Regions from separate parts of the Mus musculus genome. Here region 2 is reported to be linked to region 1. The links are microRNA targets in miRTarBase. Many come from high-throughput screens and were not tested one by one. Region 1 holds a microRNA gene; the other region holds the end of a gene's coding sequence.
Evidence for each region. Region 1 holds the annotated microRNA mmu-miR-351-5p (UCCCUGAGGAGCCCUUUGAGCCUG, at 3,908-3,931, opposite strand). A microRNA usually pairs through its seed, bases 2 to 8, with sites in the 3' UTR of a target mRNA and lowers its output. Matches are read on the target gene's strand: a 7mer-m8 pairs with bases 2 to 8, a 7mer-A1 pairs with bases 2 to 7 and ends in A, and an 8mer does both.

Region 1 (5,384 bases):
CCAGACCTTTCAGTTATCAATCTGTCACAAGGGCACAGTGGTATCTCGTGACATGATGATCCCCGAGACGTCTGAGATCCCTGCATGTGTAACCTCAAATTTCTGGATCTCCCAGTACCCTTAAAGACCTTTTAGCGAGTAGCATTTCACAATGGGACACAAATCAAAGCACAACAAAACAAAGAAACAGCAAAACTGTGAAGATGGGGAAAAAAAAACAAAACAAATAAGCAGCTAACCAACCTACTACAAATTCTGTTTTTAAAAAGTCTCTTTGTTTTGCAGTTTCTTTCCAGTTTCTACTCTACTTTCAGCCACCAGAGTTAGTGTAATTCTGTGGCCTTGATTTTTAAAAGCTTGTTATCTTAAGAATGTTTCTAAGTTTCTAGGTAGTTTTTATGATTATTCACAATGACTAAAAACGTTCTTTTGAGGATGCCACTAAATTAATCTCTATGGTTAGTTCATATTTGCTCCCTTAATTTACTTGAGTCTATAGAAAGGATCAAAGCTTTAAAGTGAATTCACTTTACAATTTTTAAGCTTGTACACATTGAATCATGCATGGGTAGGTGACTTACAGTCATTACTTAATCATGAAGTCAATCTTGAGCCTCAGTTAGGAAGTGTCCAGCAGTTAGACTCTCACTCGTCCTTCTTAGGACTAGACAGTTTCAACTAGACCTTTTCTAACCAAACACACTAGTTCAGCTCCATTTTCTGTCCTAATCACTATGGTGTAAGCTTCTGATGGCCAGGCAGGAATGTTACCTGGCACAGCATGAAGTCTGCATGATGCAGTTTCCCAGGTTTCATCTTCAGAATCCTCAGGTCTCTCGAAACTTTGTCTGCCTTACTTATCTCTCAAAGTTGTAAACAACAAATCTATGAAAGCAGTTGGGGCCGTAAGTGAACAGAGGAAATGAAGGCAAGTGCTGAGATGAGGATTGTAAAGATTTGGTTTCTAGGGCACAAACATTCTGCCTTCACTCTGCAGAGTGGAGGTGGGGGAGGGGTAGCAAAAGACCCGAAGGAAGGAGTCAGGCTGCAAAGCAAGCAGTATTCCCAGCCCCCAACAATGCCCCCGACTTGGAGCTGGGGAGGGGAGCGGGAGGGGGGGAGTGCGGCGGAGGGGGCGGGAGGGGGGCACGCTTTTCAATTTTCACCACTTGCTCCGAAGACAGAGCTCAAGAGTAAAGGGGAGTGCTCCAAGGCTGAGGGACCACAGGAAATGGAAATCGTTAGAGGCTCCTCCCACAAGGCTCTAAGCCCCTTTAAACTTGAGGAGGATATCAATTGTGGACCCAGTGCAGGAAACAGATGAGTGAAATATTAGGACAGAGCCAGGAGATCCTAGCTCAATGGATGGGCATAAGGCAGGCTGAACTGGGCCTCGGAGATACAGATTTGCTATGATTGGTGTATACATACTGTGTTTCGTTTTAAGAGGCATACAATAACTCTACATAAAGATGAACGTATAAGTTTCTGGCATCATGAGAAATGCTTCTGGACAACGGGAAAATAGATCTCTAGAAATTAATGTTAACTTGGTAATGCCCACAGCTCAAGTCTTTTGATCTCTATCAATATATATTCATTGATCTTCCTGAAGCATACTTTTTGAACCTATTTGTATTTTTTTTTTAATCTGCACCGTCTCTCAGGAAATCTGCCTATTAATTAATTTATGTCGTGTAGATTCATCATGTTTCCCTTGCTGTTCCCTCCTCCTCAATGGATTGACAGGTATGGTGCTTTAGAATAATCAGTAAAATAATGGGCATTGCAGAGTCCTTCTTGGGTGTTTGTTTAATTGGACAGTTGCCCATGTTACTGGACATCAAAAGCAACACAGAATTATTTGGTCTCCCAGCACTGGAGTGTATCCAAATGTTTTCCTGTTTAGGATTCAACTTTTCTCCTTGTCTGCGTGCATGCATAAATGCTTTACACAATTACATTTGCTGACTTTTTCTGTGGCCCTGGTTATTGGCATCTAGTTTTTCCAAGTAACATTGACACACATCTGTTCAAATCAATTGACGCTTCTATCAGGACTGACTCATTTGGTGGAAAAAACAAGTTTACATGCCAACTGGAACAAAGGAGCCTAGATTTGGGGGAATAGCAGGAAAAATGAAAACGGTGGGGCCGGATTATTTGACTTACAGATCATAAAACACTTTCCAATAACATTTTAAAAAGGTATACAATATTACACTAGTGACTGGTTATATACTGTACCCCCCTAGTTGGGTGGTTTTCAATATCTAGTGTGGTAAAACGCATATAAATTACAGTTTTTGAAAGATGATTGTACTTTCTTGGAACAGGAGTCTTCTGTGTCCACATCCCCAAGATTGTTGATGTAGTGTTCCCTTGTTGGAAAACCAAACCAAACCAAACCAATATGGCTAGCAGAAGATGCCTTCAGAAGTATTCCTGTTATTAAAATTGTTACAAAATTATGTTCAATTCTAGTGTATCACAATAACCTGAATATCTTGTCCTACAACTTACAGAAATGTCAGAGTTTAGATTTAGAGCCAGGCTAAGCTTTTCATAGTTTTAAGAGCCATGTCTGTCTAGTAACCTTTTACAATGCCACGTGCACACAGCTTCCTCACTAACAAATAACATGTGTTGGGGGAAAAAAAACGGAGAAAACAATGGAGAGGTGCCTCTTTGAATGTGGTAATGGAGGATCAATTAATCAGCCGACCATAAATTGAATCACTTTATACAAGTCTCCCACACATTATCATGCACATTTAGCAATGTTTGAAAAACAATTTAAAAGAATACCTTAGGGAGTTGTTAAAGGGAATTTATAATCTGGAACGAATTGCCATCTTCTTAATTGACATAGAAGTGTTTGGCTAAAATATTGCTTTATTCACATTTTGCCCTTGGAAGAAAATCGAAGCACATCATAACTTCGACTAGGCAAATAAAGGTGCGAAGAGCATTTCAAATCAAAAAAGGGCACCACGCAGCCAGGTGCTATGTGGATGAGCTCAATTTTGGCGCCCTTGGGCACCTTGGGCTAATGGCATCTTAGATTCTTAGTCAGTGGCCTTAAACCTGGATCATTTGCTCCTCTGCTCTAAAGTCCCCAACCCACCTGAATCTCACTTGAATCTTGCAGGCACCCACTGGAAGCAGCCAGATGGCGCAGGCCAGATTCTTCTGGGTGAGTGGGGGCCTTCAGTGAGCCCCGGCGCTCTTCCTCTGGCATAAGGCAAAGCCCTGTTGAACAGTGGAGATGGAGAAGGGAAGTTGGTGAGGGAGAATAGGAAGTCTCAAAGTGCCCCTCCTCCAACCCTGCGCATAGGAACGCGGGGCGCCTGAACCTGTTAGCCATTTGTCTTGGGGATTCCGGGCCAGAGGGGCCCTGCCAAGGGGAGGGGTGAGGCAGGAGCTGGGGGGCGTGGCTTCAAGAAGCCAAGGAGATGGGGGCAAGGCGTGGCTTAAGTTCCAAGGGGTTTCAGTGCTCCTGGGAGCCAGGGGGTCCTTGGGGGCCCAACGGGACCCAAACCACCTCCCACACCTTGTTCAAACGCAAAGGAGTCTGGGAGAAAGGCATTTGGTGGCTAGAGCTAGACTCCCAGGCTCACAAGGCCTCCTCTAACTGTACCTTTTATGGGGGCCTGCACCCAGTCCCTGGGGAAGATGACAAGCAGTTCATACAGACCAGAAGGGTGTGTGTACATGTATTTTATTTCTTTTTAATAAGACAAAGCAGCACGATTTCACCCACACTCCGTTTTCCAACAGTCCTTTACATGCCTATACTCCAGATTATGGAAAGTGATTTTCACAGGAAAAGTACAGTCTTGCTCCAGAAGTTTAACACTCTTCTCCAGTTCCCAGGCGCCTCTTGACCTGTTTTTTTTTTTCACTCCAGGCTCAAAGGGCTCCTCAGGGAAACGGAGGTGCCATGATTAATCACAGCAGAGTTTGGGATGTCACAAAGCAGCCATTTTCTCAGAGACTTCTAGGCAGTGACAAGGGTGTCCCCATGTCCCCACTGCCATGTAGAATTGTGTGATGACTTTGGGAAAGGGGGATAAATGGGGACTAGAAATGCAGAGCCTCACTGAGGCTTCCTGTTGGGCCATTGCCTCTCATTGTACCACCTGGGGGTCCGCACCAGCAAGACACGAAGAGATCCAGGGACACTCCCACGGACCCCTTAATCTTTCCTAAACTGCAAAGAGAAATGGGGACTTTCTCAAGTCATCCTTCCTGCCCTTCAGAACCCTTCTTATTCCTTTTGGAAGGACCCCTTCTCCATTTTGTTGTTGAGGACTTAGGACAAATTTTCTTGTTTCGCTCTTGTGGGTGGTATACTACTTGATGACCAGGAAGTGCTTTTTTTTTTTCCCAGTTGATTCACTTTTACCTGAGCAGCAAGTGAGGCGCTAACAACACACTTTCAGTCACACCCAGTCAGAGTCACAGATCAGCAACTCTAGTTGGGAGCTGTTCTAGAGTCTCCCTCCCATGGGGCCTATGCTGCAGGCTAACCGAAACTTACCTGGTGGGTGTGCCCATGTGGAAGACCCAGACTTACCCAGGCAGTGGAAACAATACTCCAGGGCACCAAACACTCACTGCAGTACTGTTCCCGCTGCTAGGGCACGACTGAGTGGGATGGGCTGAGTACAGGATGCCTTGTCCCTTCTTCAAGTGAATTGCCACCTTGCTATTCACACCCACCCAGGCCCTTGGACTGTGTAGAGTGACCCTCACTAGACTAAGCCCCTGCCCTCCCACCTACCTGCTTTAGGGCTTTTAGTAGAACCCACACAGGTCTGTTCAGCAGGTCCCCACCTTCTACATTCCCCACGAAGGGGTGTTGCAGCGCTTCATGTTTTGAACCTTGGCAATACTCCAAAACATGAATTGCTGCTGCAGCCCTTCGGAGTCAACGAGGGTGGGGGCCGCTCTGGGGTACCTGCGAAGGAAGAAAGTCTCTGTGATTTCCAGGATCTGCTGGTGAGGCAAAGGGTGTACTGTTGGAAAGCAGGGTGTGGTGGATAGTGGGGAGGAGGAGACTCTTACCTCAGAAAGTAGATGAAAAGTGGGATTAAATAAACTGAGACAATTTGGTAACATCTGGATCACTCTTGCCAGCTCCAAAGTCTTGGTGAAACTTCCTGCTACCTTGTATAAGTCTCATTTATTGTCCCCGGGTTTTGATCATTTATTGGAAATTGGTGCAAGGAACTTTTGATAATCAAAAAAAAATCCCTCTGGGTAGTCCCAGTTGGTTTTACTGAATACTATAGGCATGGAATAGACTTGTCTAGTAGTTTCCTCCGTTCTTACAGTAATCACCTCGTCATTAGTTATTTTTAAGGACAAAGCATGAGAAT
Region 2 (5,384 bases), not on the chromosome of region 1:
TGTCGTGTTCTGGTGCACACATTGATAGGTATATCTCCACTGGCTTCTCAGATACTGAACTTCTCTGGAGATGAATAATGTGGAAATTTTAAGTGCATTTCATGGTTTTTTTTTAATTCCTGACCATAACTACCTTGATCAATGTCTTCTGTAGCATGTCTCTCTGTCTCTACAAGCTGACATGGAAGCGGCTGTGCTTCAGCACAGATCTTCTCAGTTCACTGAAAGATGAATCCCAAAGTAGCTCGTACAGCAGACCTCTGCCAACCCAGTGTTCTTCCAATTCATAGCAATGGGACTGGCCACTATGAGATTATGATTGGGCAGATGGGGAGGAGGGGTGGGGAAGGAACAGCCGTCTCCAGGAGGCTTGTTCTCTCTGCAGTCGGGAACATTGCACTATCAATGAGAGGGACTGGACAGTAGTAACCTCCCGTTTGTGCTTCCTTTTTCAAACCACTTTGTCAATATACTCAGGACATAATGGAATCCAATTGTGGGACCAAGAGCTTAGATTTTTTCCCCAAAGGAACCAGAGCCAGTCTTCATCCATGGGTATTTTTCTTCTCTCTTAAGTCACCTGTTTGCAAACAAAATGATACAATATTAGAACAAAATGCCTGTAGGACATAAGTCAGTTCCCTCCCACTCTTGGAAATACCTTCAATGCACACTTGTTTTAATAGTCACCTATGTGGTAATGGTATAGGGTTTCCTTTAAATAAAATGTTTATAATTTTTAAGTTAGATGTTATTTTATGTGTATGAGTGTTTGCCTGAGTATGTCTAGGTACCATGTGCATTCAGTGCCTGTGGAGGCCACAAGAGGATGTCAGATCCCCTGTGACTGAAGTTACCTACTGAGCTGCCATGTCGGTACTGTGAATTATATACAGGGCCTCTGGGAAAGCAGGCGATGATCTTAACAGTTGAGCCACCTCTCCAGCCCCATGATGTTTGTATTCTTAAAGTAGTAAGAATAAAAGTCATTTCATATAGATTTTGGTCACTATTTTTTTTTTCCATTTTTTATTAGGTATTTAGCTCCTTTACATTTCCAATGCTATACCAAAAGTACCCCATACCCACCCACCCCCACTCCCCTACCCACCCACTCCCCCTTTTTGGCCCTGGCGTTCCCCTGTACTGGGGCATATAAAGTTTGCGTGTCCAATGGGCCTCTCTTTTCAGTGATGGCCGACTAGGCCATCTTTTGATACATATGCAGCTAGAGTCAAGAGCTCCGGGGTACTGGTTAGTTCATAATGTTGGTCACTATTGAGAGTGTTGGATTCCCTTTTGTTTCTGCTCCTCTTAGGAAAGTAACACCCATTAAATGGGTGTCTTTAAACTTCAATACAGGCAGATAGGTTTTATCAACTGGCCTATTAGAGGAAGTTTAGATAAAAACCATTCTTTAAATATACACCAACAAGAAACATGTTTCTGAAGTTATACATGGGCACTGAGTATCTGAAACATAGCTTGTGTGACTCAGAAGCTAACCAATTTTAGACTATAAGGCTCATATTTTTCCAATAAGTATATTTTTGTTTTGATAGGATACTTCACTGAGATGTGCTAGCAGGAATTACAACATAAAAACAGCATCTGAATCAAAACCTGGGTTTTGGGGCCTTAAATCTAAAAGGCTAAGTGCAGAGGGGTAACTATTCAAAATGTTATGTCACCTGCATACTGAAAGGTATTGTTGTAGCCCCTGTCAGATAAACATTATTAGGATAAATTTCTTGTGTTCCCTTTTCTGCAGCTTTCTTAGAATGATATATGTGCCCCATTTTCTTTTCACAGTTATACTTAGAAGTTTGAGAAAGGGCTGGAGAGATGGCTTAGCGGGTAAGAGCACTGACTGCTCTTCCAAAGGTCCTAAGTTCAAATCCCAGCAACCACATGGTGGCTCACACCATCGGTAATGAGATTTGATGCCATCTTCTGGTGTGTCTGAATGTACTACAATGTACTTACATATAATAATAAATAAATCTTTTTAAAAAAAGATGAAATTTGAGAAAGACCCTACATGAGACAAATCAGAACCTTGTCATAAATTATAATTCTGTCTCATGAAGCTACTTCAGGACACTGTTAGCCATGGCTATCTCTGGGAAGCCTTACAGTAGGATGAGGCAGAGCAACATTCATCTTTCAAAAGGAACTCTAAAACTTTCAAAGGTGTATAGATCACACATCTGCTGATTGTTTCAATACTTTAAGAACTACCAGCCCCTTGCAGTCCCTCACACAGTGTCCTGACACTCATGGCCAGACATGTAAATCACCTCAGCTGAAATATACAGATGCTGAGGCCCTGCCTTACGTGTCAGCCAAGACCTGGTGAGATGGGAGAAGACAAGCATGGAAATGCTGGCAGAAGCTGCCGTAGCAAAAGAACTAAGGATAGCGAGCGAGCAGTGGTGACTGGCTGAGATACACGTGTAAGCAGCAAGAGAAGCCACAGGAGACATAGCAGGAGCAAGAACAATAAAGAGGGAGGTGATACATGAATATCTACTATGGAAGAGACTCTAGGAAGACAACCCGAGCCTCTGAATATCAACACACTAATGAGAAACACTGAGGTCTGTATACTCCTCTATGTTTCTTAAGAAAATAAATGCCAGTCTTTTTTATAAAGTACAGTATAATATACACATATGTGAGCAAAACAGTTGAAATCAGGGCCTCTGCACACAACAGCAATAAAGGGAAACACGGGGGGAAGGCAATGCTCAACCACATGCCGGAGAGAGTGTGATGTTAGCCTGTGTGTGAGCTTGAGGGGCACGGTGCAGGGAAAGGTGTTTTCCGAATGCACCTCTAGGTCCTAAAGTAACAGGTAACAATCCTTTTAGGAGTAATGCTTTGTTTGAATACTTCATATTTTATTGCACCAAGTTTTAGAAATCCATGTGCACTTGCATATACATTAAAAATCCACTTAGATTTGGAGTCAGAGACAGGAATCCACACTTAACAAGTGCCTAAGGCTAGTTCATAGACTCCTACATAGTCAAGGACCACGGTACACACCCTCTCATCCTAAGATGACCCTGTATACATCCCTGCTAAAATTTATTTTAAAAATGAAGCTTTCCCCCCAAGCCCCATGAGACAAGATCTGTCTGTAGTCTTTGCTGTCCTGGAGATGACTATGTAGACCATGCTGGACTGAACTCAGGGATGCTTCCTCTGTCTCTAAATGCCTGAGATTAAAGGTGTGTGCCACCACACCCAGGGTAAAAAAAAAAAAAAGCTGTCTTGTCTATATCCCCTCTAGAAAGAGTGCTCCCTCTCTCTTTGGGGTTTGCTTGTCTGTTTTTGTTTTGAGATGGAGTTTGGATACATAATAAACGCTGTCCTCAAAGTCCTCAATCCTTTAACTATGTAACTAACTTATGACATATGCCATAATCACTATTCTTTTAATGTAGTGTAATTTGTGCTAATAACCTTTAATGTCACAACTCACAAAGACCAAGGCAGATGAGAAGGGAGGCAAAGACTAGCCTGATCTATATATCTAGTGGCCAGACCAGCTAAAGCTACAAGATGAGATCCCATTTGGTGGGGAGGGGGGTACCCTGCAGGGGTGCGCAAGCAAGCAGCAGATTGCAAGAATTACAATGCATGTGTGTAAACAATTATACTGTACACAGGATTCAAGTTGTTTATAACTTATTTATCAATGTAGCTATAATGTTTATTATAGACAATGAAGAATGGCTGAATAGTTTTCAATATTTAGAAAGCTATATAACCAGACAACTTAGTAATTTTCTAGACTGAGAAAACTCCCTTATGGGCAGCTAAGAAAGGATCAAAATTCAGTAAGCCTAACTTAAGTAATTCAGTTAAAAAGGCTTTTCTGGTCAAGTTAAAAATAAGACTATATCTCTTTACTTGGAATATAACTACACTGTAGATATTTTTAACGAGCAAGATAGAAAAAACACACAGCTAGAAGTCTTTTAAAGGTGCTTTCCAGAGTTGGAGAAATGGCTTAATGATTCAGTGCTCTTGAAACCCTGCAAGAAGACCTGAAAAAGATACCTAGACTATATGTCAGAGGGCTCACAACTGCCTGTAACTGTATCTCTAAGGACCCAATGGGCTTTTCTGGTCTCTCAGGGTACTGAATATATACTACCCACCAACACACACACACACACACACACACACACACACTGAAAAAGAGAAATAAAATACTTTGCCAGCCATACTATGTAATGCATACCATGATGGCAAGAAAATCACAAGGAGTTCCAGACTAGCCTGGATACAGAAGCCCTAACTTAAAAGGCAAATAGAGGAGAGAAAACAACTGCAACAGTAATACACTAGAAATACACATGATTAGTTGCAAGGGGGACTGTTGTATAAAGGGGCAAGATTTAAAAAACAGACACTGAACTGAATATTTTTGAGTTAAAAATTGGAATTCACACATCTATTATCCATGCTCTACAATGAAGCCATACACGACGCACATGGTACAGACTCCACAACAAATGCTGGAGCTCACCAGCGAAGTCAAAGCCGTTAAAGCCGGCTGCTAAAGGCTAAGTAAGGCTCATGTACCTGCTAGTTCTCCCAGTCTGTGCACGGCAAAGCCTCTTCCTCATCCTCTGACTCTGGGGACGCTTCTTTGATTCTTCTTAGAGCTTCGTGGATACTCCGTGTCAAAGGGTCGGTATCAGGCAGAAGTGTGAAGGATTCTCTCAAAACTTCCTTCTGAACCTTCTTCAACTTTACCCCTTTCCTTATCTGCGCCAAAATATTATTACTATCATCTTCATCAGGAAAAGGAGGCAGAGTCCGCTGTTCAACCTTTTTCAGATGAAAGCTACCACGCTTCAAGGATGCTAACACTTCATCCATGGGTGAACTCACTTTGGAAAACAAAATAAAACAATCAGTAAGAATTATTGCTCTTAAAAGTCAATCTGTGTGACCTCCAATGCACGGTGACTAGGACAGGTCTTGACATGTGAGACCTCTTTGTACCCACAAACCAATCCAAAGTAAGACAATGATTGATTACATATTTCTTTCTCTTATTGTTTTTTAAATTTAATATTGGAAGATGCCTCAGTGGGTAAGGTCCTTGCTGTCCCCAAGTTCAGAAACCCCAGAATCCATATAAAAGCTGGACAGAGTTGTGCACACAGTGCTATAACCCCAGCTCCTGGGAGATGCAAGGACATGGCAGAGGCTGATAGGCTGGGGCAGGGTTATTGGCTAGGCAGTCAATCTGAAACGGTAAGCTCCAGGTTCACAGGCAAACTCTCAATAAGTAAGGCAGACAAGAACTGAAAACAATCTTAAAAGTCGACTGACCCTCATCCGTCCCCCACTCCCACACA

Region 2: miRTarBase lists Jmy as a target of mmu-miR-351-5p. The part of its 3' UTR that is shown has no 7-base or 8-base seed match.

The regions. Positions count from the first base shown.
Region 1 is chrX:53,049,408-53,054,791 of GRCm38, forward strand. Mir351 (microRNA 351) reads right to left here and starts at 3,946; the gene lies at 3,848-3,946. C430049B03Rik (RIKEN cDNA C430049B03 gene) reads right to left here. Exons shown (of 4, transcript NR_038185.1): 4 at 3,705-5,384. It overlaps Mir503 (microRNA 503), which reads right to left and starts at 4,647; the gene lies at 4,577-4,647. Mir322 (microRNA 322) reads right to left here and starts at 4,942; the gene lies at 4,848-4,942. It also overlaps Mir542.
Region 2 is chr13:93,434,840-93,440,223 of GRCm38, forward strand. It overlaps Jmy (junction-mediating and regulatory protein), which reads right to left. Exons shown (of 11, transcript NM_021310.3): 10 at 4,600-4,910; 11 at 1-580. The coding sequence ends at 4,603. Among named protein-coding and RNA genes, the nearest start is that of Gm6109, 11 kb to the right of the region's middle.